4 linked regions of the Pelodiscus sinensis genome follow. The protein of the gene in region 1 interacts with the protein of each later gene in a biochemical or structural test. Links are inferred from orthologs where the notes say so. Each region holds a gene or a part of one and is shown in the gene's direction. Other genes may lie near its edges.

Region 1 (6,944 bases):
TCCGGAAAAGCAGCTGATTTTCCGGAATAAGTGGCCCAGTGTAGACACAGCTGCTGTGTCTAGACTGGCCGCTTGAATTTCCGCAAGAACACTGACTTCCTACTGTCTGAAATCAGTGCTTCTTGCGGAAATACTATGCTGCTCCCGTTCGGGCAAAAGTCCTTTTGCGCAAAAGGGCCAGTGCAGACAGCTCAGATTTGTTTTGCGCAAAAAAGCCCTGATTGCGAAAATGGCGTGATCGGGGCTTTTTTGCACAAAAGCGCGTCTAGATTGGCACAGATGCTTTTCCGCAAATGCTTTTAACAGAAAACTTTTCCGTTAAAAGCATTTGCGGAAAATCATGCCAGTCTAGACGTAGCCACCAGGTTTGAACAAAATACCTGTGTTCCATACTTCCATATCCCAAGAACTGGCATAGCAAAGGAAGTTGGGATGAGTGGAAGTAAGGGATAAGAATGTTAAGACGCCGGTAACTGGCTAATCGTGTACTCAATACAATTTGTATCAATTGCATGATTAGTCAATAAGGGAAGGCACTCAGTCCCAGCTCACACTGGGTCCAGAAGCTACCCCCACTGTAGCGCTGTAGTTTAAATGTAGTAGGAGTCGGGCATGCAGGCAGTCCGGCTCCTACACTTAAACTGCAGAGCTATAATGGGAGTTAGTCCTGGCTCACACCATGTCCAGGACCTAAGTGAGCCCAGCTCAGTCCCAGCTCAGATCTGGTCCAGGACCTATTTCTGCTGTGGCTCCGCATTTTCAATGTAGTAAGAGCCAGTTAAGCTCTTGCTACATTTAAAATACAGAACCACAGCAGTCCCAGACCCAGCCTGAGCTGGGACTGACCAGAACTTGCTCAGTCCCAGCTTGTGCTGGCTCCAGCAGCCCTTGTCCAGAGACAGGGGCTGCTGCTGGAGCAGCCTATGTTCTTAGTCAGCCTGGGCCACTGCAGACAGGGACTACTTTGTGGCAGCCTTCCCTGTCCTCTCGCCTGGGCTGCTGCCTCTTGTATACCTAGAATTTGTGGAGCGTGCTGACTGAACCATAGCAGTGCTTTGACTGGATGGCAGCCCGGCTCCCACTATATTTAAACTGCGGAGCCACAGCCGGAGTTGCTCCAGAACTCCAACCTCCCCTTATCGACTAATCATGTAGTCGATACAAATTGTATGAACTACACAATTAGTCAATTACCTGCTTCTTAACATCCTTACTTATAAATAAGCCAAATCTCAGCATCTCCTCTACCTTCCTACAGACAGCTTCTCATTCCATTCCCACCATCCTCTCTGCTCTTGGTGCAAGAGCTCTAAGGTAACCAGATAGCAAGTACAAAAAATGGGGACACGTTTTTGGAGGGAGGCATAATTGCCTATATAAGACAAAGCCTCTGGTATTGGCACTCTGGTCACGCTAAAGGGGTCTCGTGTTTCATTTTCAGAGGAGCCTAGTAGTGTGCACCATACACCTACCCTCCAGATTCTTGACTTTCTTCTGACCTCAGTCTCTGAAGATCATACAGGAGCCCAAGATAAATTGTGATCACATAGTACAAAACAGAGCTTGTGTTTTGGAGACATCAGGATTTAATATTCACTCAAAGGCAGAATTCACTGCAGTGCAGAACTGTCAAACACCTGGCCCATTTGAAACATTTGTGAATGCCTGGGCAGAATCAAATTGTCCAAGATCTAAACTGTTTTTTTAAGAGTAAGGTTTCTAGTCCTCATGATTAACAAAGGTAGCCCTTAAAAATTGTCTGCCTGTCTGCACGCAGCCTGAAATAATAGTCCTGTGATGTGTCAATTCTCACCACAGAATGGTAGACTGGGAAGAGCTCCAGAGAGATCTAGTTAGGACCCCTGCACTCATTGCAGGACTAAATATTCTCTAATACCATCCCTAATAGGTATTTGTCTAACCTGCTCTTAAAAATCTTCAATGGTGGAGATTCCAAAACCTCCCTAGGCAATTTATTCCCATGTTCAATTACCCTGACAAATTGTTACCCAAGCTGCCTTTGCTGCAATTTAAGTACATAGGACAAGAAACAAAGTTCAGAGGTTAAGAACGTTTTTTCTCATTCCTCTTTGTAACAACCTCTTCTGTACTTGAAAACTATTATGTCCCCTTTCAATCTTCTCTTTCCCAGACTAAACAAACCCTTATTTCTCCCCAATCTTCCCTCCTATATGTTTTTAGACCTTTATTCACAGTTGTTGCTTTTTTCTGGACATTCTCCAATTTGTCCATCCCTGTTTTTGTTCAGGAGTGAATTAAAGTGCAATAATGACACCTTAACTCTTTAATTGCAGAGTTCAGTGGCAGGACTGGGGAGAGGGTGACATGGCCCAAAGGGAGTGGGAATTGAGGGTATTGAAGAACTAAGGCAATGCAAGTTCAGGTGCCAAAGAACTGCTGTCATAGTAAGCAGCGTTACCTATCGATGTCTGGATTTCAAACAGAACACCCACTTGAAAAGGGACTCTGGTGATGACAGTCTGGTCAGTAGTTAAAAATCCATTTGGCATAGAACTGGCAAGCTCCCTACCCAACTCCCTGTGGTGCAGCTGGCCAGCATATCCTTCTGGCTGTTAGGCATAGGGACATCCATGGAGTTCCATGCACTGCCTCCAGCACCAGCTCTGCAACTCCATGAGCTGGGAACTCTGGCCAGTGGAAACAGCAGGGGCGGTGCATGTGGATAGAGGTGGTACATAGAGCTGCATGGCCAAAACACCATCTAGCCAGAGGGACATACTAGCTACTTCCCAGAAGCCACCTGAGGTAAGCACAACCTGGGGCTGTTACTCCAAACCATCTCCTACACTCTATGCCCCACGTTTAAGCTCCCTCCCACATGCACTGCCCTTGGCGTCACAACCCACTCTGCCTGCCCCAGCTTGGAAACTCTCCTGGCCCTCTGAATACTTTAGCCCCATCCCATCCTGCACCTCAAACTCCTCTTCCCCAGCCCCCCCCCCACCCGAGAGCCTACACTCCCACATTCCAGCCCGGCCTGCACCACCCTACAACCTGAATCCATTCCTCCCCCTCACCCGCCCACCCCACAGCCTGGGGCCTTCCAGCGCTCCGACCCGCTTCGCCTCAGACTCTCCACCTGGCTCTCACATCCCTCGTCCCCGGCCTGCGGCCTTGTCCCACCCCAGCCCGGTTACAGTGGGGGTGGGAGAGAGCGAGCGGGAAGAAGGCGGGGGACAGGACCAGGCTGCAGCGTGGGGCACGGGCCCTCCTCCTGCGAGCGGTGTCCCCGCAGCCCGGCCGGAGCGAAGCAGCAGTAACCGCAGGGCTGTGACGAGTGAAGCCAGCGGAGGACGAGCCCGACCTCGACGTGCTCCGCTGTGTCTACACGGACTTGGAAACACACCCGAGGGCCCGCGAGACAAACAGGAAGGGGAGGGGCATCCCTGCCACTCGCTCGCCCCCTCTGGCCTTACTGGGATCTGTTTCCCCTTCGCAGCGGCTGCGCGGAGGGATACCAGCGCCGTACTGCGCCTTAGCGATTCACGAACGTAGATCCGGTCGCGACGGCCATTTTGTGTACACGCACAGACGAACTCCCCTCCTCCCCCCCCAGAGGCGGGGACGGGCGAGTGACCACGACGAGCCGGGTACAACGAGAGACTCGAAGGCCCCGCAAGAGCTTTCGCTCTGGGGATTTCTCCATAACCGACAAACCGCCCACTCAAGCGTAGGGAGATGGGGGAAATTAGCCCGGTCTCGTACGCCGGAAGCCCCTGTGTCACAGCCTCCGCGAAGAGGGGGAGCACGCCCTTCTGATTGGAGAAGCGGCGTTCGGTCTCCGCCCCCAGATCTGGGACGCCTGCAGTCTTACTCTCGCGAGAGTCACCCCTCTGGCCTTCCCTCTTCTTCACACCCCACCCGCAACTATAGAAGGTGCGTGCACCGGCCTTGCACGAGCCTGGGGCTGTCTTACCCCCCCCCCCCCCACTAGTTTCAGTAGCGCGTGCGCGGATTCGCAGGCGGCAGCGGCGGTTAGCGCGTCCCTCCCCGCTCCAGTGAGAGGGAAGGGGGGGCTCTGGGCGAGGTTCCTTAGTGGCCCGCCCCGGGAGCGGGGGGCGGTGCCTGCTCGCCCCTCCTTTCTTTCTCGGCCTCGCCACCGGTGGTGGGAGTGCGCGGGGGCTGAGCTCGGTTTCTCCCGTGGTGGGGGAGGCTCAGCGCATCGTCTGTCCTCTCCGAGGCGGGCCGGCGGCGGTGGCAGCCAGGCGATCTCCGGAGAAGGGGCCGGACCCGCCCGTCGGGCGGAGGCTGTGGGCGGCTGCGCTCCCTGCGAGCGGGCGCCCCTGGCTGTTTCCGGAGGAAGGAGAGACGCAACTGCCCCCCCTCCCCGTCAACGCGAGCGGAGCCCGGAGTCACCGCGGCGCAGAGACAGGCCCGGCGGGCGGCGGCGGCAACACACACACAATGGCGCTCAAACGCATCAACAAGGTGAGCGAGGGGCGGGCCGGGGAGGCGGCGCTGGGGCTCGGGGTTCTGCGTCCCGCACCGCGGGGACAGGCCCTGTCGCCTGCGGTGTGCGCGGCGCCCCGGCTTCGGCTGGGGAGTGCGGGCGGTCTCCGGCCGGGGCGAGTGACTCCCTCCGCCCCGGTCTCTGGCGAGGAGCAGGGGGCCTAGCGGGCGGGGGGCGGCTGATCTCCTTCCGGGGCCCGGGCTGCCTGCGCGGGGCGAGTTGGGGAGGGGGAGCGATGTCGCCCCGGCGCGCTCTTTGTCGCAGACCCCGAGAAGGTCGCGGTGAACCCGCCGGCAGCCCATGGCCCCGCGGGGACGTGGTGGGGTGTCCGGAGGGCCGGGGCAGGGCCGCTAAATGTCAGTGTCATTGCGAGCCGCAGGGCTAATCGCCTCCATCTCTTGCGTTACCGCTCTTAGCGATGGCCCGACTGTGCTGTGGCTTTATTTACATCGCAGCGACAGCCCGGGCTGGGCTCGCTCCTGCCGAGGGGGCAATCCGCCTCCCGGCCAAATTGGTTTCTCTTCCCTGGCGTCTAACTTCTTTCCCGCATTGTAAGATGGCGGCGGGTTTGCCTAGTTCAGGCTCTTTCCGGGTCTCTTGCTTTCTGCAATAACATGACACACACACACGTCCACGTTCCCGTCGACTCTCTCTGAACACCAGCTGCTCCTATTCCTCTACGTTTACACTTCCCCTAGAAACCCTCGGCTTTCATGATGTCGTAGAGGGATGGCTTTTTACCTCATCCTTTTCTTTGGGCGCAGGACGTTGTTGTGTGATGTTTTGAGCATTTCGTTCTTGCACAATCCTGTAGGGTGGAGTAACTTTACAGCTAACTCAAAAAAAATGTTGAGGTGATGGAAGTTTAACCTTCCAGAGAGCAAGGTTAGTGGCAGAAGGTGGGTGTTAGGTAACTTATAAATCTCAATTTCAGTTGTGACGTTCCTGTGAACAATAATTTAGTGTTTAGTGCAGCATCCAAGCTTCCCAACAGTTGGGGTCCTAATGACAAGCATGATTACAGCTAAATAGCTTACTTAAGCTCTGAGTTGCTGTTGATGTGTACTTAAAAGCATTATGGCATTGTAAATATTTTGAGACTGGATAGATGATTTTCTCCTTGTCACTTTTCAGCTTGTCACCAACCAGAAACTCATAGTGCCTTGAAATGATACAATGAATATGTCAAATTGAATATAGTTGTTGGGGTTTGTCATATTTTTTCTTAGATATTACAGAAACTGGACATATTTTTACTAAAAGGAATATAACATTGTTGCTGTGTCTTAATTTACTGTTCACACTCAAGAATAACAAAACTCTTAAATTCAAAACTGTTAAGTTTTAAGTAGGAGAATGTGTAGATTTTAATTAAAATTATACTTTTACCAGAAACTATTTTGAAAGTGTTTTAAACCTGCCACCAAACTTGTTTTCACTGTAACTGTGGATGGTATCACTTACATTAAGAAGCAGTTGGGAGACTCCCTGATATGCTTTGTCACCAACTACTCATGCAGATGAGATGCATCCTTAACACAGACTTGTGTAGGTCTGAGGAATTTTTGAAGTATAAATCATTAAAATCTCAGATTTAGAGTCTCTTTTTAACTGGAGCCTTAGAACATATTTAAAAATAATTTGGTATCAAGAAGTCTATTTAGATTATAAAATAATAGGAGACAGTCCATACAATCTATAGTGCCTAGCAAAATGGGTCTTTATTCTTGATTGTTGTTCTTGATAATTGTTAGGCACTGTTGTAATAAACATGACTAATAACAAAAATATGTCCAGGGGCTCACATCTTCCTTGTCCAAGGTTTGTGGTTGAAAATGTAACCACTTCTGACTAGTTTAGCCAAATCAGATGGCAAGATATGTCTCCAAATTGGTACTGTTTACAGCTGTGACTTGCTTTTTAGTAGTTCCCACCTTAGTTGGTTATAGTTAGATTAATGTGTTATCTGTAATCTGGGATTCTGAAATGCTTTCCAGTTCTAGTGGCTCTCAGGAAAATTGATGCCAAAATCAAAGCATCAGGACAGAGATTGCAATCAAATTAATTTAAGATTTGTCCCGCCAATCACTATAGCTAGAGAGGGCTGTATTGTCACTGAAAAGCACAGATCCCCAGCTTTCAAATGTTAAAATAATCCAAATATCAGTTTCTAGCTTTGATGGTGCAACAGTTCAGACCTTGATGTTTTCTTATAATATGTTCTTGTCACTAGTCAGGGCTGAAAAATGCAAGTCCAGGACCTCAGAGCATTGTAATTGCACATACCTGATTCAGTTGAACTTGCAAGTCTGTAGAAATATTACCTGCCACGGCCAGTTGGTTTTCAGTAGATATCACGAACAGGGGCATTTTCTTTCAATCCTTGCTTCCTTTGTTTGATTTGACACCTCATTAACCATTTTGAAGTTGCATTTTAGTATACATGAAAACA
Region 2 (7,088 bases), on another chromosome or scaffold:
ACGTAGCCTTAGAGTAAGGTAGAACAGCACATAGCTAGAGGCAGAAAAGTAGGTGCCTAAGGAACTTTTATCCTGGAAAAGTAGGTGCTGAGTAAGTTTAGGTTTCTTAAGAGTTATATGTGGGTTTTGCAGATCACAGTGGAGCCAAATCTGGTATTTAGATGCCCCAAGTACCTTTGTGAAACTAGGCCTTAGACTCCTTTCCTACTGTTGGCTCTTCAGCCTGTGTGAGATCCTAGGGAAGCAGAATTTCAGTGTGTTTTGAAGCTAACTACTAGTGGCTTGATCCAAAACCCATAGAAATAAATGAAAAGAAGCTAATTGACTTCAATGGGCTTTAGATCAGAGATGCCCAGCACCTGTGAAAAACAAGACCACCGATTGTCTGAAAAGAGGGATAAAAATATTTTTGGTGTTTTCAGATTCTTTGACCAGTATTAAAAAGCTTTTATATTTCTTTAAGAATGAGTTTCTCAAACAATAACTCTGCCCATGTTCTTTGGTTTCAGAAAAATATTTAGTTATTTAATGTTGAAAAGCAGCTGTAATATGAATATGTGCACCTTTCATAAAAATTTTAATAACACAAAGAACCACTCATTCCAAACAGTGTAAAGGGAAGACTCATAATGGTTTTATTGAGGTAAGAATGACCCAGTGGAATTATGTCAATAGCAGTATCTTATACAATATCCAGGTACAATGTATAATTCTTCTGATAGCCTCTCTAGGGCTTAAAAAGCTCTTCCAAAAGATCTTGCACAATTCCCAGATATATCAAAAAGCCATGTTCAAGAATAATTTACAGTGAGAATTGCAAATCATGAATTCTGTGTTGAAAGGAGGGGCAAGGGACATTCTCTAGCAAAATCTTGTAGGTTTTGGCAAAAACAGTTACAAACTAGTGCATAAATAAAGCAGATAGAGTTTTTGTTTGTTTTTAATGAACACTTGATTCTGAAATTAAACTTTGCAGATAGCAAGATCCTATGTGAATTTAAATAGATTATGAATATTATAGTGGTACAATGTCTAAGGCATTGTCCAAACATGAAAGAAACAATCTTTGCCCTGAAGAAATATGACAAATGTATTTGCTAATACACATTTATGTAGCTTCTGCATAGTGCTATACAGCATATTATCAATTGAAGGTTTTATTTTAAATATAGGTACGTCAGACATTGATGTTATGCCAGTATGATCTTCCTTCTCTGCCCTACATATTCTTACAATACTACTTTTAAAAATAAACAAAAGGAAATGAAATACTAAAAACATTAGACTAGTTTAACATAATGGATAAACCAGTGGCTCAGTATTCTGCACTACCATGTGGAAGTCTGTCTAGATTCAATTTCTGATCTCATTTTCTTATACCCTGGACTGGGAGTTCTGCCATCTGTCCTCCTCAAATGGAAGAACAATATGGGACTCCAAAGTTGGGTGGTTTCTTTAGGTCCAGTACAACCCAGAACTATGATAAGTGTGTACTGAATGAAACCCTAAGGAAAAATAAAATTCTTAAATTGATTAAATTAAAAAATAAAAAGCCAAAACATTCACCTCATAGGCAAAAATGTAGTCTTCTAATTAAACCAGCTATTATATAGGATGTAGTTGTAGCAGAAATGTTGGAGTGGAATCTCTTGCATTGAGCCAGATAATGGAGAGGTCATTCAGTTTGTATAGGTGTACAAAGCAATACAACTTATCAGGAAAAGTATATATTGAGTATTGAGGATATAGTTTTGTCTGGATTTTTAGTACTGAATATTATGTTTTCATTAGTATTCTAGTTTTACAGGTTGTACAGTGCTAAGTGCCTGAGCTACATAGGACCTATATAATGAAACTAGTTGGGTGAGAATCAGAAACAGTATCAGATATAAGTAGCGGTCTGCTTACAAAGCCAGTAGTTTCCTCACTATCTCAGTCTTCATGAAAATGTTACAATGGCATCTCCAAATCATAATTTTAAGTGGGAGTACCTTGCTCATTCTTAGCTACTTAAATGTTCTCCTTAATTTAGGGTATGCAATGTAGTTATAGTCATGTTGGTCCCAGGATTGTCTCATTAATTTAGGACACTTTTGAAAGTTGCCTCTTCGGCTGTTCATTGAGATACCCTCCCTTAAATCCTCTCCCTGCTTTAGAGTGCCCCTGCTGTTGAGTGTGTTGAAAGGCCTGGAATTCTTTGGGAGCCTAAAGACAGAAGCATTACACCATTAAATAGAATTGGGATGTAGCTATAGCAGTCTTTTGAATTTCAGAGGGGTGTAGGAATATCCCTGACTTTTCTATTGCAACTCAATCACACATAAATAGTGGATTTTCTGAGTTGTAAGATGGGTTAGAAAAGTACCTTCCATCAGTAGTCTCATCCTACTAGCAAAACAGGATATAAATTTAGGTGAAACGGGTATCACGATCTAGCTCCAACCTTGTATCCCATAAAGTTGTTTTACTTTTGAATCTTTGATTTTTCAGTATATAAAGCTGTATCTCACCTCACAGTAAGAATTGCTTACTCTTTTTTCTACCCCTTGACTCACAATAAAATGATTTATGCCTATATTTTCCCAAGCTATTTGGCCCATTATGAGATACGAGTCTCTCAGGTCAGCATTTGGGGACCCTCACCGCTGACACCAGCACTGAGGTGAGCAGGGGAAAGGGTCCACTCCTCATTGTTCCCAGCAGGAGCAGCCCAGGTAAGCTTGAGCCCTAAACCTTGGTCCCCCCTTGACTCCCCTCAATCCTGAGCACTCTCCTGCACCCCAAACCACTCACCCCCAGACCCATCCCACAGCCCACACCCCCAGGCCAGAGCCTGCACCCCCTCCTGCACACCAACTCTCAGCTCTTCCCCAAAACTGTTGTCCCCCTCCTTCACCCTAAACTCCTCATTCCCTGGCCCATCCCAAAGCCTGCACGCCCAAGCCAGAACCTATACTCCCTCCTGCACACCAACTCCTAGTCTTTTCCCCTCCTGCATCCCAAACCCAACACCCCCAGCCTTACCCCAGAGTCTGTATCCCCAGCTAGAACCCTTGCACCCCCAATCATCTGCCCCAGCCCAGTGGTCCCTCCTGCACTCAGAACCCCTTGACTCCACTCCCACCACATTAATTTTGTGATGTGCACCAATATGAAGACGATGTATTGAGTGGCACACATCAGAAAATTCACTCAGCTCAGGGGTGGAAAAAATTAGAGGGAACACTGGTGAGGGCCTGGGGGCATCCCAGTGGGGGGGGAGGCAGTAATGGACAGACACTCCCTTGAAGTGGGGGCACCCCCTTCCCCCAGGGGCAGTGAGGACATGAGGGCATTCCAGGAGGAGGGGGCACACAGTGGGGACAGACATCCCCTATCCCTCAGTGGCAGTGAGGCCCTGGGGGCATTCCAGTGGGGGACACACAATGGGGATAGGCACCCCTTCCCCCCCGGGGCAGTGAGGACATGGAGGCATTCGGGGTGGGGGCACTTAGGGGACAGACATCGCCTTCCTGCTGGGGCAGTGAGGACATGGAGGCATTCTGGGGGGGGGGGACTTAGGGGACAGACCCCGGCTTTCCCCCGCCGGGGTAGTGAGGACATGGAGGCATTCCCGGGGGGGGGGGCTCTTAGGGGACAGACACCACCTTTCCCCCAGGGGCAGTGAGGCCCTGGGGGCATCCCAGTGGGGGGCACACAATGGGGATAGGCACCCCTTCCCCCCAGGGCAGTGAGGACATGGAGGCATTCGGGGGGGCACTTAGGGGACAGACACCGCCTCCCCCCCCCCCGGGGCAGTGAGGCCCTGGGGGCATCCCAGTGGGGGGGGCACACAATGGGGATAGGCACCCCTTCCCCCAGGGGCAGTGAGGACATGGAGGCATTCCCGGGGGGGGGCTCTTAGGGGACAGACACCGCCTCCCCCCCCCGGGGCAGTGAGGCCCTGGGGGCATCCCAGTGGGGGGGGGGGGACACAGTCGGGACACGCAGCCCTTCCCCCGGGGCAGTGAGGTCCTGAGGAGGAGCGCAGGGGCAGGAGAGCAGCGGGGACTGGGACGGGGGCCCCCACCCCCCACTGGGCGCGAAGCGGCGAGCAGGCTCCGTCCCGGAGGAAGGGAGGCGGCTGCCGCCGCGGTAACGCGCTGTCCCGGGCTTTGTTGTGCTCGCCGCCAGGGCCCCGGGCAGGGGGCGGGGGAAGGCGGCGGCGGCGCCTCCTCCTCGGCGCTGGCCCCGCTTATGGCGACGCTGGGCACATCCGGGCTTCTCTTCGTCCGGCGGCCGCCGCCGCCGCTGCCCTGAGCGCCCAGCCCGACTCCATTAGCGCCTCCCCGCTTCCTACCCGGCCCCAGCGGCAGGGGCAGCCCGGGCGAAGGCAGCGCCGAGCCCCAGCCGCGGCCGGAGACATGTCCAACCAGGGGGCCCGGAGGAACGGGCCCGTCAAGCTGCGACTGACAGGTGAGGAGGGGCCGGGGACGGAAGGCGGGAGAGGGTGGCGGAGAGCGGGCGGCTGGGGGGGCCAAGCGCCGGGCTTTGTGAGGAGACGGGCAGGGGGGAGGCGGCTGAGGGGGAGCCTGGTGGGGAGAAGGGGGTCGGTGGTTCAGGAGGGTAGGGGTCGAATTGGGCGGGGGCCGTCGTGGCTAAGGTGGGGGGGGGGTGAAGATTTGGGGTGAGGGAGCTGGGGGGGGGGCAGAGCGGGCGAGTGTGGCTGCGAAGGGAGTGGGGGTGTGAAAGGAGAGACCCCGGGGAAGCCCCTTTCTCTGTTGTCTAAGCCCCGCAAGTCCAGCTGGAGGGGTGGGTGGGACCGAGCTCCCTCCATGTGTCTTTGAGATTGAACCTGGGGCACGGAGAGGCCTCAGGGGAAACAAGAAGTAAACTCCCTGCCTCCCTCCTCTCAGCAGGGGGGTCCGTGGGCCACGGTTTTGCCCGTCGCCCGTGGGACACGTTGCTGTGGCCACGATAGGATTGTTTACTCTAGGGTAGTAAACACGCCTGGGTTAGGAGGAGAGGTGAAGCCCTGGGCAGTGTGTGTGGGGTGAGGTGGAGGTAGTGGAGCCCCTCGCCTCCCTCAATCAGAATCTCGATTAAACCTGAGCTCATTAGATGTATTTCTCTGTAAAATGCCGGACCACTCTCTCTGTTGTTGTTGTTGAATATGTTGTAGTATTTAGGGAGGCCATTGTAACTTTTTGGTAGGTACCTTAGGCTGTCTCAGAGGAGTAGCTGTGTGTGTTGTTACTTGAACAACAATGTTTCAGAGGGGTCGCTGTTAATCTGTAATAGAAAAAAAACTTAACAACAACACATAGTCCTGCAGCACCTTAGAGACTAACTAAAATGTAGATGGGATCATGGGTGGATTGTGTCCATAAAAGACATGATCCCATCTACATTTTTTGTTAGTCTCTAAGGTGCTGCAGGACTATTCGTTGCTTTCTAAGTTTTTTTTTTTTAACAAACAATGAGTAGTCCTGTGGCTAACAAATGTATAGTATTATGAGCTTTTGTAGGTAAGACCCACTTTGTCAGATGATGATATTATATTTTTTTTGCTAGTCACTAAGGTGCCACAGGACCACTCATTGTACCTTAGGTTGTTTCTCACCCTCTCCGTCTTCTCTGTGTAATCGTCGAACTATCAGGCCCTTTGTTTTGATCTTTTGTGTTGCTGTTTTCAAGCCAGTTTCCTCAGTTGAGATTGTAAACAATTCATAGGATATAGGCCATCATACTGTAGGAAAAAAGCCCTTAAAAAACCCATGGCCTTTAAAAATGTTTAGTTTACACCATAAATGTAAAAGTAAACTATTTCAGTCTGTCTTCTGGAAAGGAAGGAAAACATTATCTGTTTCTGAATACTTGGAATGAGCTCCTTTTGTAGTGATGAGGGCAATGTAAGTAGATAAATATGGAGAAACACTTATAAATATGAATAAAGCTTGTCTGCCTTTGAAAAATAATCACTGAAGACTTGCGAGGAAACAGCAAATTGAGAAAACACATTTTGTACTCTAAATTGTGACTTCAGTATATGAAAATACAAGATTTAAGAAAAGTATTAAAAATAGTTTGTCTTCCAACAACTTATTGAACCTAGTTAACTTATTTTGTAAGGCACAGCTATTAGTTCTTTCAAAAAAGTCTAAAAATAGTTGCTGCATTTTTTAAATTATGTAATTTTAATGGTATGTGCAGTATTTTCAGTTAACTTCTAATAAAAAAATTAAAGTTACCGCATTTTAATTTTTTAAAATTCGAAGTAGAGAAAAATGGCTTTTTTCTAGATCATGTAGATTTTTTTCTTATAATTGCTTACATTCTATTTTGGAACTTATTTAGATTAATCTTGTAAAAGGGGTTTTTATGCAGGGCCAGGATACTGCCCAGGTGGTGAACTCCTTAGAAATAAACTTTGGAAATGAGTGGAGCTGGACTGATATGTGGGACAGTGTTAGTTTAAAAATACTGTTCTGCACTTTTGTGTCTGTGGCTCCTTGCTTTTTGACTGAGCTCAGAGAAACTAAGGTGAGTTTAAAAAAATGCTCTATAATCCTGCCTTGGCCTAATGGAAAACTCTAGACCACTGGTCTCCAACCTTTTTAAGCATGAGATCACTTTTTTGAATTTAAGTGCAATCCAGGATCTACCTCAAATCCAGATAGCCCCCCTTCTTTGTGCCCCTTCTCCAATGTCCTGCCCCTGATCACTCCCCCCTCTCTCTCCCATTCTCCTTCCTTTTCATCAGGCAGTGGCAGAGATGGGGCACCTGCTCTGGTCCTGGGCTAAAGGATTTGGCGTGTGAGAAGGGCTCTGAGCTGAGCCTAGGGCAGGGAGTGGGGGTACAGACTCTGTAAGGGAGTTTGGATCCAGGGGCTCAGGGCTAGAGCAAGGGCTTGGGGTGCAGGAAGGGTTCATGACCTGGAGTAGGGGCTCAGAGCTAGCTCTAGCTGGACACTGCTTACCTCAGGTGGCTCCTGGGTGGTAGTGCAGTGAGGCTAAGGCAGGCTCACCTTTGTCCTGGCCCTGCACCACTCTCAAAAGCAGCCAGCAAACTCCCTCCATCCCAAGCCCTGTTGTGCCCCCTCCTCCAT
Region 3 (7,554 bases), about 21 Mb from region 1:
CAGTCCTCGGTGCCACTCGTGGTGCATGCAGTGAAGATCGCGTACGTCTTTGCCTGGCCTTGCGAGGCCTGCTTTCCCCAGTGGCCCTTTTTCAGGGAACGTGGAACAGAGGATGCAACCACCTTCCAGGCAATCAGCTAGAGAAGAAGGCCGCAGTGACCCTAACAGGGAGGGCAGCAGGGAGTCCTGGGGCTGCAGCAAAAGAGCCATACGAGGGTCCTACTGACGGGGAAGGGAGCCGGCTGGGCCCCTACTGGAAGGCAGGCTATTGTGTATATTGGAGACCACAGCACGGCCCTGCTCACTCTCGTGACCGTGTTTTGGCCTTGCTGAGTCTTGCAGCAACCTGGGTTTTCAGACCCCTGCCTGGGTGAGCTGATGGTGCAGTTCCACCTTGTTCAACAGAGCCATGAGCCAGACTCTCCCCACAGGAAGAGCTGGGCAATCATGCCTCTGCATGGAGCCTGTCACAGGACTTAGACTCTACATTATTCTGTTTTTAAAAGTGCTCACTATACCTGCCGGCATGCCCTCTAAATTGCAGCCTTGCATTTCAGTCATAGGAATCTTTAAAGGCTTACATCTAGGCCGTAACTTCACACTTTATGCAACATATTCCTTAGCTGGACATGTGCAATACTAGTTCATGGGAGTTCAGTGGCCCTATAACGGGTGATCATCTCAGATGCAGCCTCTTTATTACATTGGCCTTCTGGGCCTGATTCTCCAGTGCCTTACACCTTGCACAACCATTTACACCTGGGCAAGCAGGGTCATTCAATGGCCTTTCTTAATTTACCAACTGATGCCAGGCTACACAAAGGGCCAAAGAATAAGAACAGGATCCCTGCATTTATAATACCCAACTGGAGCAGGGTGTATTTCTTGCACTGGAAAGAGGTCACAAAGGGAAGAACGATTTCAATCATTAGACAACTTAATACTTTAACTCATCTGCAAATAAGCGGTCATGCTTCGGGGCATAGGGCAGCTGCTAATTGATGGGGTTTAGGAAGAACTTCTATAGCAATTATGTTTTAATTATTTGCTACACATCATTTTGCACTTTCCAGGAAAGCATCTGTTCAGTTAGACACAAAACAACAGACTAGAGCGATCACATGTCTGATATGGCAAAGCAATTCCTATAACCAGTCACTAAAAAGGGAGCTCAAATTCCATAATATGAGGGGAAGTGAGAAATCTGCAAGTCCTGCAACCCACTAATACTTTTTTGTTCTCTACGCTGATGTCTGACAATACCACTTTAAGCACTGTTTTGATGAGCCTTTCCCTGAGCAGGTCCCATACAATCCAAAAGATGATTAACGCTCCACAGGCTTAGATACTCTGCTGAATCAGAGCGGAAAACAATAACAATAGCTTGTCTACATTAGTGCTCCCAGTGTTGTTAACAGCACTGGAGGTAAACTGCCACCAGCAAAAGAGACATTTTTGAAAACTAGACTCATAGAACACGAGAACTGGAAGGGACCTCAAGAGGTCATCCTCATGGCAGGACCAACCACCATCTAGATCAGTGGTGTGCAACCTTTCCCGGCGCGACCCCCAGGAAAATTTATTTGAGTTTAAAAAAAAAAAAAGTGTGGCCCCTTTAAATACCACTCTACTAACTTGCTGCTCCCCTTGCCCCGACCGCATGTATGCCGAGCTGGGGAAAAAATGGCAGCCGGCCCCTATGGGGGTTGCAACCCACAGGCTGCACTCCGCTGATCTCGATCATCCCTGATAGTAAGAATTTTAAATTTAAATTAATCAACTAATTGAATAGTTGATGCAATTTGTATCGACTATTTGATTAGTCAATAAGGGCACCTGCCAGTTCTTGCTACATTTCGAAGGTGGAAGTGTGTGGGGAGCATGGGGCCAGCGGAGGACTCAAGCATTCCCATTTTGGCCCCGCGCGCCCTGCTTTTGAAATGTACAAGCACCCCCACTCTTGTCCATTTCAAAAGTAGAGAGCACAGGGTCAGTGGGAGACTGCTTGAGTCCTGTACTTGCCCCCTGCTCCTGTGGCGCGTCTGTTTTTGAATGTCGCAACGTGCCCCTGCCATATTTCAAAGGCAGAAGTGCCACTGGTTCCCCCCTGCGTCCCTGCTCCCCACCACAGCGACGGTGCAGATAGAGGCAGTAAGTGGGGGGAAAGCGACTAGTTGAGTCACTAGTCGACCATCCATTAATATCGGATAGTTGACTAGTCGTTTCCATCCCTATCCGACCGGTGTCTGTCTAACCTGCTCTTAAATATCTCCAGTGATGGAGATTCCACAACCTCCCTGGGCAATTTATTCCAGTGTTTAACAACCCTGGCAGAGCTTTTCCTGATGTCCAACCTAAACCTCTCTTGCTGCAATTTAAGCCCATTGCTTCTTGTCCTATCAATAGAGGCCAAGGAGAACAATTTTTCCCCCTCCTCCTAGTAACACTGTTTCAGAGACTTGAAAGCTGCTATCATGTCTTCCCTTTTCCAAACTTAAAAGAGTCCAATTCTTCCAGTCTTCCCTCATAACTCATATTTTCATCATTTTTGTTGCTAAATAGTCCTAATGCAGGTGAAGACAAACCGCACATACATTGTGTATTTACCATGCAATCCCAGTTTAGCCGTGTAAGAGACTTCTTTTGAACACCCCTATAAATCAACACAATTCTATTGGTCTCATGTTGTACAGCATAGGTGAGGTTTACACTACAGACCTATTTCAGTATAACTATGCCACCCAGGGGTGTGAAAATCAATCGAATCGCCGTGTAGACAGCACTCTAACTCCCTGTGCAGACCATGCAATGATGGTGGGAGAGCTTTGCCAGTCAACGTGGCTATTGCTTCTTGGAGATGTCTTTTACATGCAGACCTACTCCTACAGTGGACACTCTCTTTTGTACTGCTTGTTTTCTTCTGTCTCTGTTTATTCCATGGATGTGAGAACAGACACAGAGGTTGATACAGCTACAAACAGCGAAAGATCAAAAAGAAATTGTGCCATGTATTTCAGCAATTTTAACCGAATCTGATATTCTTGAAAATAAGGATTTGTTTCACCTTGCGTGTATACATACTGGTCCAGTATTTCAGGTACATAATTGAATACAAAATCTTGATTAATGCAACAAGAAGGTTGCACAGTTAAAAAACTAAAAAAACAACTTAAATTCAAGGGAGATGGGAGGGGGCTCTGGTGGACACATGGAGAAGAAAGATGGTGGAAAGAATACAGTTGTCTCTGGATAGAGTTGCAGGGGTAGGCAGATACCAGCCCGTAGGCCAGATCTGATCTGCCAGGGTTAGTCGCCGCAGGCCCCTACACTTCCATATTTACCTGAGCCTGCAAGTACGGGGGAATTGCTGTTCCTGGCCATTGGAAGCTGTGATCCCTTGTACCTGCAGAGGCGCAAGTAAATATAGTGGCAGGAGCCCACCAGGGACTAACTATGGTGAACTGCCACCATTTTATTGCCTGCACCTGATGTAGGGGCAGATGGTGCGTGTGTGTGTGTGTGAAGAGACAAAAGACAGGACTATGCAGCACTTTAAAGACTAACAAGATGGTTGTTAATCTTTAAAGTGCTGCATAGTCCTGTCTTTTGTTTCAGCTAGACCAGACTAACACGGCTGCATCTTTATCACTCTTCTGTCTGAAGAGAGATTGTTAAGAGACTGGGGTCAATTGCGTAAGATCAGAATAAGAGTGAGTTTGTGGAGGATGTAGGGGGCTGGGCAGCCTGAGCATGGAGAGCGGTCTCTATGGGGACATTTTAGTGGAGAGATGTAGCATATTTGAACATAAGAAAGTTTTTCTTCATTCAACGCACAACCAGTGGAACTCCTTGCCAGAAGATGTGATAAAGACTAGGGCTACGCTGGCGGCTTCTTGCGCAAGGGTTCTTGTGCAAGAAGTCTTGCGCAAGAAAACATCCACACTGCCATGTGCGAGCTGTGCATTTGTGCAAGAACGCCCATGGCAGTGTGGATGCTCTTTTGCACAAGAATGCTCCGATGGCCATTTCAGCCATAGGGCTTTCTTGCGCAAGAAATCCCTGCTGAGCGTCCACACTGCCCTCTTGTGCAAGAGCTCCTGCGCCAGAGGGCTTATGCCTGTTAAAAAAGAGCGTCGCTCTTGCGCAAGAAGCCTGCTCTTCCCGCTGGCTGTGTCTACACTGGCATGAATTTCCGGAACTGCTTAAAACGCAATACTATTCCGTTTTCAGTTTTTCCGGAAAAGGAGCGTCTACATTGGCAGGCTGCTTTTCCGGAAAAGAGCCGCGATGGCCATTTTCGCGATGGGGGCTTTTTTCTGGAAAAGACCCCTGGGCTGTCTACACTGGCCCTGCTCCGGAATAAGGCCGTCTGCCCGAGCGTGGCGCAGGCGGGGCTGTGTGCGGAGGGGCGGGGCCTGTGAGGGGCGGGGCGCTGCGCGCGGGGCTGTGTGCGGAGGGGCGGGGCCTGTGAGGGGCGGGGCGCGGTGCGCGGGGCTGTGTGCGGAGGGGCGGGGCCTGTGAGGGGCGGGGCGCTGCGTGGCGCGCGCGGGGCTGTGTGCGGAGGGGCGGGGCCTGTGAGGGGCGGGGCGCTGCGTGGCGCAGGCGGGGACGCGCTGGCTCCGCCCCGGCCCGGCTGCCGCTTCGCCCTCCCGCTGCCGGCGCCCAGGCCTGGCCCCGCCGCCGAGCCCGCCGCGCGGTGAGAGCCTGCCGGGCGGGGGAGGGGGCTGTAGGGAGGGTGTGCGGGGGGGCGGTAGGGGGCGTCTGCAGGGGGGGGCTGGGTTGTGTGTCCAGGGGGGTCAGTGGGGTGGGTTGGGGGGGGTGTCCAGGGGGCTGGGGGTGTGCGTGCGGGGGGGTCGGGGGGCTGGGGGTGTGCGTGCGGGGGGGGGGTCGGGGGGCTGGGGGTGTGCGTGCGGGGGGGGTCGGGGGGGCTGGGGGCGTGCGTGCGGGGGGGGGTCGGGGGGCTGGGGGCGTGCGTGCGGGGGGGGTCGGGGGGCTGGGGGCGTGCGTGCGGGGGGGGGGTCGGGGGGCTGGGGGCGTGCGTGCGGGGGGGGGTCGGGGGGCTGGGGGCGTGCGTGCGGGGGGGGGGTCGGGGGGCTGGGGGCGTGCGTGCGGGGGGGGTCGGGGGGGCTGGGGGCGTGCGTGCGGGGGGGTCGGGGGGCTGGGGGTGTGCGTGCGGGGGGGTCGGGGGGGCTGGGGGTGTGCGTGCGGGGGGGTCAGTGGGGTGGGCTGGGGGTGTGCGTGCGGGGGGGGTCGGGGGGCTGGGGGTGTGTGTGCAGGGGGGTCGGGGGGGCTGGGGGTGTGCGTGCAGGGGGGGTCAGTGGGGTGGGCTGGGGGTGTGCGTGCGGAGGGGGTCGGGGGGGCTGGGGGTGTGCGTGCGGAGGGGGTCGGGGGGGGCTGGGGGTGTGCGTGCGGGGGGGTCGGGGGGGCTGGGGGTGTGTGTGCGGGGGGGTGGGCTGGGGGTGTGCGTGCGGGGGGGGGCCGGGGGGGCTGGGGGTGTGTGTGCAGGAGGGGTCAGTGGGGTGGGCTGGGGGTGTGTGTGCAGGGGGTGGGCTGGGGGTGTGCGTGCGGGGGGGTCGGGGGGGCTGGGGGTGTGTGTGCAGGGGGGGTCGGGGCTGGGTTGTGTGTGCAGGGGGGGTCAGTGGGGTGGGCTGGGGGTGTGTGTGCAGGGGGGTTGGGTGGGGTGGGTTGGGGTGTGCAGGGGAGGCCCATGGGGTGGGTTGAGGAGTTTGCTCTGAGAGCTGTGTTTCCATTCCCAGACCTGACATGCTGGACACCATCCCACCAGGTGGGTGGGGGTGTGGGATGGAGATCCTGGAGAGTGTACGAAGGGGTGTGTTGGGGAAGGGACTTGTGGTTAGATTGTGAGAGAGGCTTGGGGAGTGTGAATGTTGGGATTGGCGTGTGGGGTGATTTCTGGTGGGTTGAGAGGATCGTGGAGGGGTGAGCTAAGGAAGAAGGATGAATGGGTGCTGGTGGATGGAAGGATATGTGTGAATGGAGATATAGGGAGGGATGTGATTGTATAAAACACTGTTTAGTTCTCATATTGGACATGTGGGGCCATTTATTTTCCATATAAAATCTCACAGCAACTGTGGTACTCTTTGTTTCCCAGTATTCTCTCCCTCTATAACCCAACGCCAGTACCCTTAAATCCCACACCATCGTTGGTAGCAGAAATCTTACCAAGTGTTTTACTGTCCTTACAGATGTGTTCATTTCCTTTACAGTCATCGGTCATCTCTGAGGTGTTTCATTGTCAACCAAACAAACCACTATTCCCTTCGTTCTCCCTCGCCTTCGATTTCTTGCTGCAGTGAAGCCCTTTTGAACTCTTACCAGCATCCAGAAGTGGCTTAAACAGATACAGTTGACTTCCCAGTATATCTGAACTAACCAAATACCAGAATATTTGTGTGCTGTCCCGTTTGAGTAAGTGCCACAGCTTCATACCACTAATCTCACATACCATTTTTCCTACCGTTTCCTCCTATTAGGAGTTCAGTCTAATTTGTAGTACATATGTTCGCATCGCAAGGGACAGCATAATTGTCTCTGTCTTGACGTTAAAGTGGATTCTTGCGGGAATTTTTAAAACCGTGGTGGTGTGTGAGATTGTGAGCTTAATTTCAGGTATGTAGGACAGCAAAAATTCTGTAACTGGAGCTGACTGACACCCATTACGTTAGTAGACACAGAGCCTAAATTGCCATCCGTCCTGAAAGTGAGCTAGAATGGGTTAAGGCAAATGAGCTGAGTCTGGACTGTAGTTTTTGTGCAAAGGTACCATTGTTAGTGCATAGCACTGAGGCTAGCAAAGGTGGGAGCACTGGGATAGACGAGCTGCGGGTGTTTTTATCAGGCTGGCTGTACCTCTAGTAGGTCTAGTCTAGATCAGTGGTTTACAAACTTCTTTTCAGATGACCCAGTTGAAGAAAGTTGATGCCTGTGACCCAGCGGATTTGGGGATGAGGGGTTTAGCGTGGGGCGGGCACTCAGGATTGGGGCCGAGTGTTGGGGTGAGGGCCATGAGGTGGGGCTGGAACAGGGATGGGGAGGCTGGGGCTAGAATTGAGGGACTTGGGGTGCAATTTGGGTTGCAGGAGATTGGGAGTTTGAGGTGGAAACGTATCCAAGGCAGAGCATTCGTGAGAATTGCTGAGTGCAGATATTGCTCTGTATAAATAATAGTAAGTGCTCTATGATTGTGTCACTGACAACTTTCAGGATTGCAAAAGCCAGCAACGCTTCTCTCAAAAAAGCATCGGTACTGCTTAATTATTAGCCACGAGGAAGGATAGGGTTTTGTCCCCGGATGGATAGGGAAGAGATCAGGGCCCAGTTTCTGCTCTGCTTCAGTTTCAGTGTGTCCCTGAACAAGTCACTTAATCGATCTTGTGTTTCAATTTCCCATCTATAAAACAGGGTCATAAAATACTATCCCACAAGAGAATTGAGGGGAAATTCCATTAATCGTTGTTGAGGTTCGTCAGCACTATTGCCACGAGTGCCCTGACTGTATTTACATGGAACAGGGTAAGCACAGGTATTTGG
Region 4 (6,905 bases), on another chromosome or scaffold:
TTCAGAGATTTTTCTTCCACCTTTTTCATAACTCTTTGTCTAAGTTCTGAGTGGTTTAAGTTGTATATGCAGAGATATTGAGCATAAAACTAATTTACCCAGAAGATTAAGTTTATAATCTTAGGAATCTGTAGCTATCTGTGTGTGTATTGGAGAGCGTACCCCATTGGGAGTATTTTTTGTTAGTGTATTAATGAAAACTTCAAACTAGGGGCTTGCTCTGTTTCGTGGCTGAATATAGTCTGGAATAGTAAAGTTTACAGAGAAAACCATCATTCTGCCCATTGGAAAAACAGGTTAATTTCATAGTGAGTGATAAGACTGTGCACCAACTGACTTCACCAGTCAAGACTTTTTTCTAGTCTTGAACTTGCTGCCCAGAGCTGCTGCTACTGTTTCAATTTATAAATCAAAATGGAAGGTTCATTAATTTTCCTTAGCTTCTAAACATTTGTGTGGAAATTAATATTCTTTGCAAAATGACTTGGGATGTCTTGGCAGGCAAAGGCACTGTAAAAGCATTTCTTGGGCAGCTATCAAGAGGTTACATGCTACTGAACCTATATTCCACAACTTGCGGCTGAAATATCCACTCTGCTAGCTTAAGTTAATCTCTCTCTATATTTTAGAGTGCATCTGTCTGTGCTTCTGTCTGTGAATCTTTGTTCAAGAACTTCTTCTAAATGGTAAGAGCTAGGACCACCAAATTTGGTATGCAAATTTCCTCTTACGCTAACGTAAAGCAAGGTTAGGGTTTGGTTGTGCCAGGAAAATGGGAAGTGCCAGGAATGGTACAAGCTCCAGGGGGTAGCTGAGTTAGTCTGTATAGGATAAATTTACAAAACAAAAACTGGTAGTGCTACCAGACCAGTTTTTGTTTTTTAAGTTTAGGAGTGGGACTATTTTTCATAATTTGAAAAGGGAGGGGCAGAGAGAGGAGATATGATACTCTGAGTGGCCACTGAGGGCAGCGAACCTGCAGCGGAGAACTATACTGCAGAGTGACCACTGGGGGCAGCTGCACTAATGAGAGACTGGCCAGCTGGGGACAAGACTCTGCCCCAAATCATTGCCTGCACCCCTCAACGCATGCCCTCACTCCTGCACCCCCACCCCATGCTCTGAGTCCCCCCCATCTTCGTTCCCCTGCCATGAGCTCCCCCAGGCACTGAACCCTCTTCCCTGACTCCAGACCCCCATCCAAGCCCCTGCCCTGACTTCTGCACCTTCACTCCCTGTCCTGAGCCACCCCACTTGAACCCTGAGGCTCCCCAGCCTTGGCCCTCACTCCAGTACCATTCACCTCTAGCCTTAATCCCCCACACCTCCTAGCCCCCTGCCCTAACTCCTTAACCCTACTCCTTGCTCTGAGCCCCACATATACCCAACCCTCTATCCTTCCCATCACCTGCCTCTATCCTTCCCGTCACCTGCCGTGACTCCTTCACCCCCTCACCCATGCCCAGAGCCCTCCTAGTCCCCTGTCCTGACTCCTTCACCCCATCCCCTGAGCCCTCTCCCATCCCCTTGTAATCAATCATGTAAATATTGTATGTTCATTTTTCCTTTTAATTAAAAAACCCCAACAAATCCAAAACATTACAACAGTTAAGAACCTGAGCAGCACTGGGATACATGTGCTAGTTGAGTGTAAGTTTGAGTTTTCTGCACATTGTAAGGGTATTGGTCTGCTTTGTTAAATCATAGAATACTAGGACTGGAAGGGACCTCGAGAGGTCATTGAGTCTTGTTCCCTACCCTCATAGCAGGACCCAATACTGTCTAGACCATCCCTGACAGACATTTATCTAACCCACTCTTAAATATCTCCACAGATGGAGATTTCACAAACTCCCTGGGTAATTTATTCCAGTGTTAAGGTTTCCATCTTGGTAGATTCAGAATTCAGAACTACTTTGAATTCTATGGGAGCATCACAGAATCATAGAAAGGCTGGCCTAAAAGGAACCTGAGACGGTCATCAAAGCCAACCTCCCATGCTGAAGCAAAACCAAGTAATTCTAGACCATCTCTCGCAGGCGTTTGTCCAACCAGTTCTTAAAAACCTCTGTGACCTCCATCGTGAAGATTCCATGACCTCCCTTGGAGGCTTATTACTGAGCTTAACTGCCCTTAGAGTGAGAAATGTTTCCACTCTTTAACCTACATTTCCTTTGCTGCTGATTAAGCCTCTTACTTTTAGTCCTGCTTTCAGTGGGCATAGCGAACAGGTGATCACTGTCCTTTTTATAATGGCCCTTAGTATATTTGGAGATTGTTACCAGTCTTCAGTAATCTTTTCTCAAGACTCAATGTGCCCAGTGTTTTTAACCTTTTCTCATAGGTCACATTTTCTAAACTTTTTATCATTTTTGTTGTTCTCCTCTGGGCTTTTTCCATTTTATTCATATTTTTCCTGAAGTGCGGCATCCAGAATTGCATAAGAATCAGCTGAGAGTGTCTGTGTTATTTGGTGGGGTTTACATCTGGCCTGCTGGAGTTTCAGAAGTTGTTTAAAAATAGTCTCCTCTCTTCTCCCTTTCGAGTTTGACAGGTAGGTTCCTGAAGATAATTTTCAAATACTGCATTTTTTCTAATACTTTCCTCCTCTGATCTCCTTTGCAGGGAAGAGAAACGTCTTGCCTTCTTTGAGGGCAGCCTGTCTGTTTCTTTAAAAAGCCAGAATGTTTCTTGCTGCTTATTGTACTCTTAGCTTGCTACTACTAGGGCCTAGGGTTACCAGGTGGCTTCAGAAAAAAAATACTGGACACACTTGATCTTAGATGTGGGGGAGGACACCGGCTGGGAGGAGAGTGGGGCTGGCCAAGAGGATATGTGTGGGGGGGGGGGGGGGGGGGACCAGCTCGCAGGAAGCAGGGCTGGCGGGGGGAGACCGGACAGTGGGAAGCAGGTCTGGCTGGGAGGGGATCAGGGGGAGCGGAGCTGGCCAGGGGAGATCAGGAGGAGGAGAGGGAGGAGAACCGGCTGATGGGAAGCAGGTCTGGCCGGGAGGGAGTCGGGGGCAGTGGGGCTGGCCAGGGGAGATCGTGTGTGTGTGGGGGGTGGGGGGGCGTGACCAGCTAACGGGAAGTGGGGCAGTCCGGGAGGGAGTTAGGAGGAGGGGCTGGCTGGGGGCAGGGAGTGGGGGGAGAGAATCAGCCTGTGGGGAGCGGGACTGACCCAGGCGCTTGCAGATCCCGGGATGCTTCCTGTCCTGTGCACAGTCCTGGCGAAGCACGAGCGAGTCCAGCCCTGGGGATTCCATCCCGGTCCGGGGATTCCAACCTGCCCCTGTCCTCCCCTCCCCTCCCCCCCCCCGCCTTCCCCCCCCAGCTTAGTTGCATACTGCCTGGCTAGTAGTCACACTCACGCAGCATGAGCGTGTCTACCAGCCAGGCAGTTCGCAACTACATACTGATATCCCTAATAATAATAATAATAAAACTTACCTAATTAGAAAATACTGGACATTTTATGTGTCCGGTATTTTCTTAATTTTTTCCCTGGATAGAACTCTCAAATACCAGACTGTCCGGTTCAAAACTGGACACCTGGCAACACTACTAGGGCCAGTGAACTTACCATTTTGCAAACATCTGCGCAGCTGTACCTTCTGGTCAGGATTGGTGTAGGAGTTTTGTAACTCCCTGTCGGGTTATTTTTAGAGGACCCTGGAAGTTTCCTAGTGTTTAATTTACCCAGTAGGCTAGGAAAGCATTGCTCTTTTCTATCCTGTTTAAACTAAAAGCATACTTACATGTTTTTCAGTTTTGATTAATACATGTTTTATAACCTTGAGTTTTTTCTTTAAAAACATAAATCCCCCAAATGACCTTACTGAAGATCAATTAAAACTAAAGACAGCAGAGTTAAGGTTTGCCCTCATTCTGTACATCTCTTTCTAGGATTTTCTTGACATGGTCAAGATCAAACAACATTTAGAGATCTGCAGTGTTCAACAATCTCTTATTCATGCAACGGAGTGTCTTCATTTTATGTTGCAGGGCCGTATTAAAACTGCAAGATTGGTATTGTTTATATATGGACTCTCATATGGTAATTTATAAAAATATTTTTCAGGAATTAATTATGAACATTTAATGAAATAGAGATCGAAATGCAGTATTTGGGGGGGGAGGACCCTTTTATGTGTATTTTGTGCATCTCCCTTATTGGAGAAAATTATATTTTTCTTATGGTAAATTTGCAGCGAAATTAAAACTCTTGTGCTTTCTTATAATATTACTACAATTGATGGAAATCTATAGCCAATTGTCACTATTTGTTATATTAATGGCTGTCATTTAGTCTGGAGTGTTCTTATTCATTTCTCTAAAATCTGGAAATCAGTTTAAGGACCTTGCAGGTCCTACAGACCTACAGTAATTAATTTTTGCTCAGTTTGCAAGAGTAGTTTCTATAGCAGCTAAGCAAGTTTAGGAATCTCCTGAAATCACATCTGAGTCGTCTTGTCAGCATTCTGATAATTCCAGAACAAAATGTAGGCTTCATAATAATGATCTTAGTCTTTGTTTCTTCTGAAGCAAAATGCAGGACAATGTAGCACTTTAAAGACTAACAAGATGGTTTATTAGATGATGAGCTTTCGTGGGCCAGACCCACTTCCTCAGATCAAATAGTGGAAGAAAGTAGTCACAACCATATATACCAAAGGATACAATTTAAAAAAAATGAACAAATATGAAAAGGACAAATCACATGGCAGAACAGAAGGGGGATGCGGGGGGGGGGGGGGGTGGGAAGGGGGAGGAAGGAAGGTAAGTGTCTGTGAATTGCTGATATTAAAGGTAGGGAGAGTGGGATGTTTGTGAGTTAATGGTATTACAGGTGATAATTGGGGAAACTGTCTTGGTAATGGGTGAGAAAGTTCAAAGACTTGTTAAGTCCTTGTTGGTAAGTGTCGAATTTTAACATGAATGACAGTTCAGAGGATTCCCTTTCAAGTGCAGATGTAAAAGGTCTTTGTAGCAGAATGCAGGTGGCTAAGTCATTTAGAGAGTGTCCTTTCTGGTTAAAGTGGCAAGAAACTGTTTTCTCTTTGTGATCTTGTCTGATATCTGTTTTGTGGGCATTAATCCTTTGGCGAAGTGTCTGAGATGTTTGTCCAATGTACATAGCAGACGGACACTTTCGGCACATGATAGCGTAGATTATATTTCTGGATGCGCAGGAATATGTGTTCTTGATCTTATAACTCACTTGGTTAGGTCCAATAATGGTATCAGCAGAATGAATATGTGGACAAAGCTGGCAACGGGGTTTGTTGCAAGGGAAGGTACCAGGGTTGGTATTAGTGTGGTATGTCCTGTGGTGGTTGGTAAGAATCATCTTGAGGTTAGGTGGTTGTCTATAGGAGACTATGGGTCTGTCTCCCAGAGCCTCTTTGAGTATGGTATCCTGTTCCAATATAGGCTGTAGTTTATTGATAATGTGTTGGACAGGTTTAAGTTGGGGATTGTAGGTGATGACAAGTGGTGTTCTATTGTTGGTTTTCTTGGGTCTGTCTTGAAGTAGATGGTTTCTAGGTATTCATCTGGCTCTTTCAATTTGCTTTTTTGTTTCTCTGGGTGGGTAGTTGAGATTTATAAATGCTTGGTAGAGATCCTGAAGCTTCTGGTCTCTGTCAGTGGGGTTAGAGCAGATGCGGTTGTATCGAAGGGCTTGGCTATAGACGATGGATCGTGTGGTGTGTTCTGGATGGGAGCTGGATGCATGTAGGTAACTGTATGAGTCAGTGGGTTTTCTGTAGAGAGTGGTGTCTAATTTTCCATTGTTGATTTGTACGGTGGTGTCCAGGAAGTGGATCTCTCGTGTAGAATGGTCCAGGCTGAGGTTGATGGTGGGGTGTAGGTTGTTGAAATCTCTGTGGAATATCTCCAGTGTTTCTTGGCCATGTGTCCAGATCATAAAGATGTCATCGATGTACCGTAGGTAGAGGAGGGGTGAAAGGGTACGGGAGTTGAGGAAACGTTGTTCTAGGTCAGCCATAAAGATGTTAGCATACTGTGGGGCCATGCGTGTACCCATGGCTGTGCCGCTGATCTGGAGGTATAAGTTGTTCTCAAACCGGAAATAATTGTGGGTGAGAACAAAGTTACATAGGTCTGCTATCAGGTTGGCAGTAGTGTCCTCTGGGATAGTGTTTCTAATTGCTTGTAATCCGTCTTCATGTGGGATGTTGGTATATAGAGCTTCTACATCCATGGTGGCAAGGATGGTATTATTGGGGAGGTTATCGATGTTTTGTAGTTTCCTTAGGAAGTCAGTAGTGTCTCGGAGATAGCTGGGGGTATTGGTTACGAAGGGTTTGAGAAGAGTGTCTACATAGCTGGATAGACCAGTAGTGAGCGTGCCAATACCAGAGATGATGGGACGTCCGGGGTGCCCAGGTTTATGGATCTTGGGAAGTAGATAGAACAATCCTGGTCGGGGGTCAGAAGGTGATTCTGTGAGGATTTGTTTCTTCTGGTTTGTCATTCCTTCTTTGCAGCATCCAAACTGGTGCAAAGTTTGAGTGAGTTAATGGACTACAGCCTCTCCCTGAGTTACGGACCAAACTCTTGGCCGTAACTCAATCTGTTCATAACTCGGACCCCATTGAGTTACATAGCGACTGCGCTGTTCATAAGCGCAGGTCGCGTTTGTAACTCAGAGACCGCCTTTAAGACTGCTCCATGGAAGCTTTGGTCATAAGTGCGAACGGTCAAAACTCGACTGTTCGCAACTCAGGGAGCAGTTGTATTAAAAAAAAATCAGGGCAAACCTTTGTATATGCTGCTCCTGTAGGTGGCCTCCATAAGGCCTCCTGGGAACTGGGCTTAATGTGGATATAGTTTTCATCTCTTGTGAAGGTTGTTGAATGCTTTCCCACTATTCAGCGGCTT

The links.
Region 2: the proteins of UBE2D3 (region 1) and SMURF2 form a complex in vitro, tested with the Homo sapiens proteins (12 studies listed by BioGRID). The link is inferred for Pelodiscus sinensis from reciprocal best matches to the Homo sapiens genes UBE2D3 and SMURF2.
Region 3: the proteins of UBE2D3 (region 1) and UBA6 form a complex in vitro, tested with the Homo sapiens proteins (2 studies listed by BioGRID, with this or other methods). The link is inferred for Pelodiscus sinensis from reciprocal best matches to the Homo sapiens genes UBE2D3 and UBA6.
Region 4: the proteins of UBE2D3 (region 1) and RFFL form a complex in vitro, tested with the Homo sapiens proteins (5 studies listed by BioGRID). The link is inferred for Pelodiscus sinensis from reciprocal best matches to the Homo sapiens genes UBE2D3 and RFFL.

Annotation. Positions count from the first base shown.
Region 1 is NC_134715.1:25,177,037-25,183,980, reverse strand, and holds the start of UBE2D3 (ubiquitin-conjugating enzyme E2 D3), read left to right. Parts: upstream 1-3,942; 5' UTR 3,943-4,446; coding exon 4,447-4,470; intron 4,471-6,944. UniProt on the Homo sapiens protein: Accepts ubiquitin from the E1 complex and catalyzes its covalent attachment to other proteins. In vitro catalyzes 'Lys-11'-, as well as 'Lys-48'-linked polyubiquitination.
Region 2 is NC_134730.1:20,923,987-20,931,074, reverse strand, and holds the start of SMURF2 (E3 ubiquitin-protein ligase SMURF2), read left to right. Parts: upstream 1-4,083; 5' UTR 4,084-4,403; coding exon 4,404-4,455; intron 4,456-7,088. UniProt on the Homo sapiens protein: E3 ubiquitin-protein ligase which accepts ubiquitin from an E2 ubiquitin-conjugating enzyme in the form of a thioester and then directly transfers the ubiquitin to targeted substrates.
Region 3 is NC_134715.1:4,190,183-4,197,736, reverse strand, and holds the start of UBA6 (ubiquitin-like modifier-activating enzyme 6), read left to right. Parts: upstream 1-4,537; 5' UTR 4,538-4,696; intron 4,697-5,756; exon of another isoform or gene 5,757-5,785; intron 5,786-6,209; exon of another isoform or gene 6,210-6,230; 5' UTR 6,231-6,432; intron 6,433-7,425; 5' UTR 7,426-7,536; intron 7,537-7,554. UniProt on the Homo sapiens protein: Activates ubiquitin by first adenylating its C-terminal glycine residue with ATP, and thereafter linking this residue to the side chain of a cysteine residue in E1, yielding a ubiquitin-E1 thioester and free AMP.
Region 4 is NC_134731.1:17,191,270-17,198,174, forward strand, and holds the start of RFFL (E3 ubiquitin-protein ligase rififylin), read left to right. Parts: upstream 1-3,902; 5' UTR 3,903-3,917; coding exon 3,918-4,056; intron 4,057-6,905.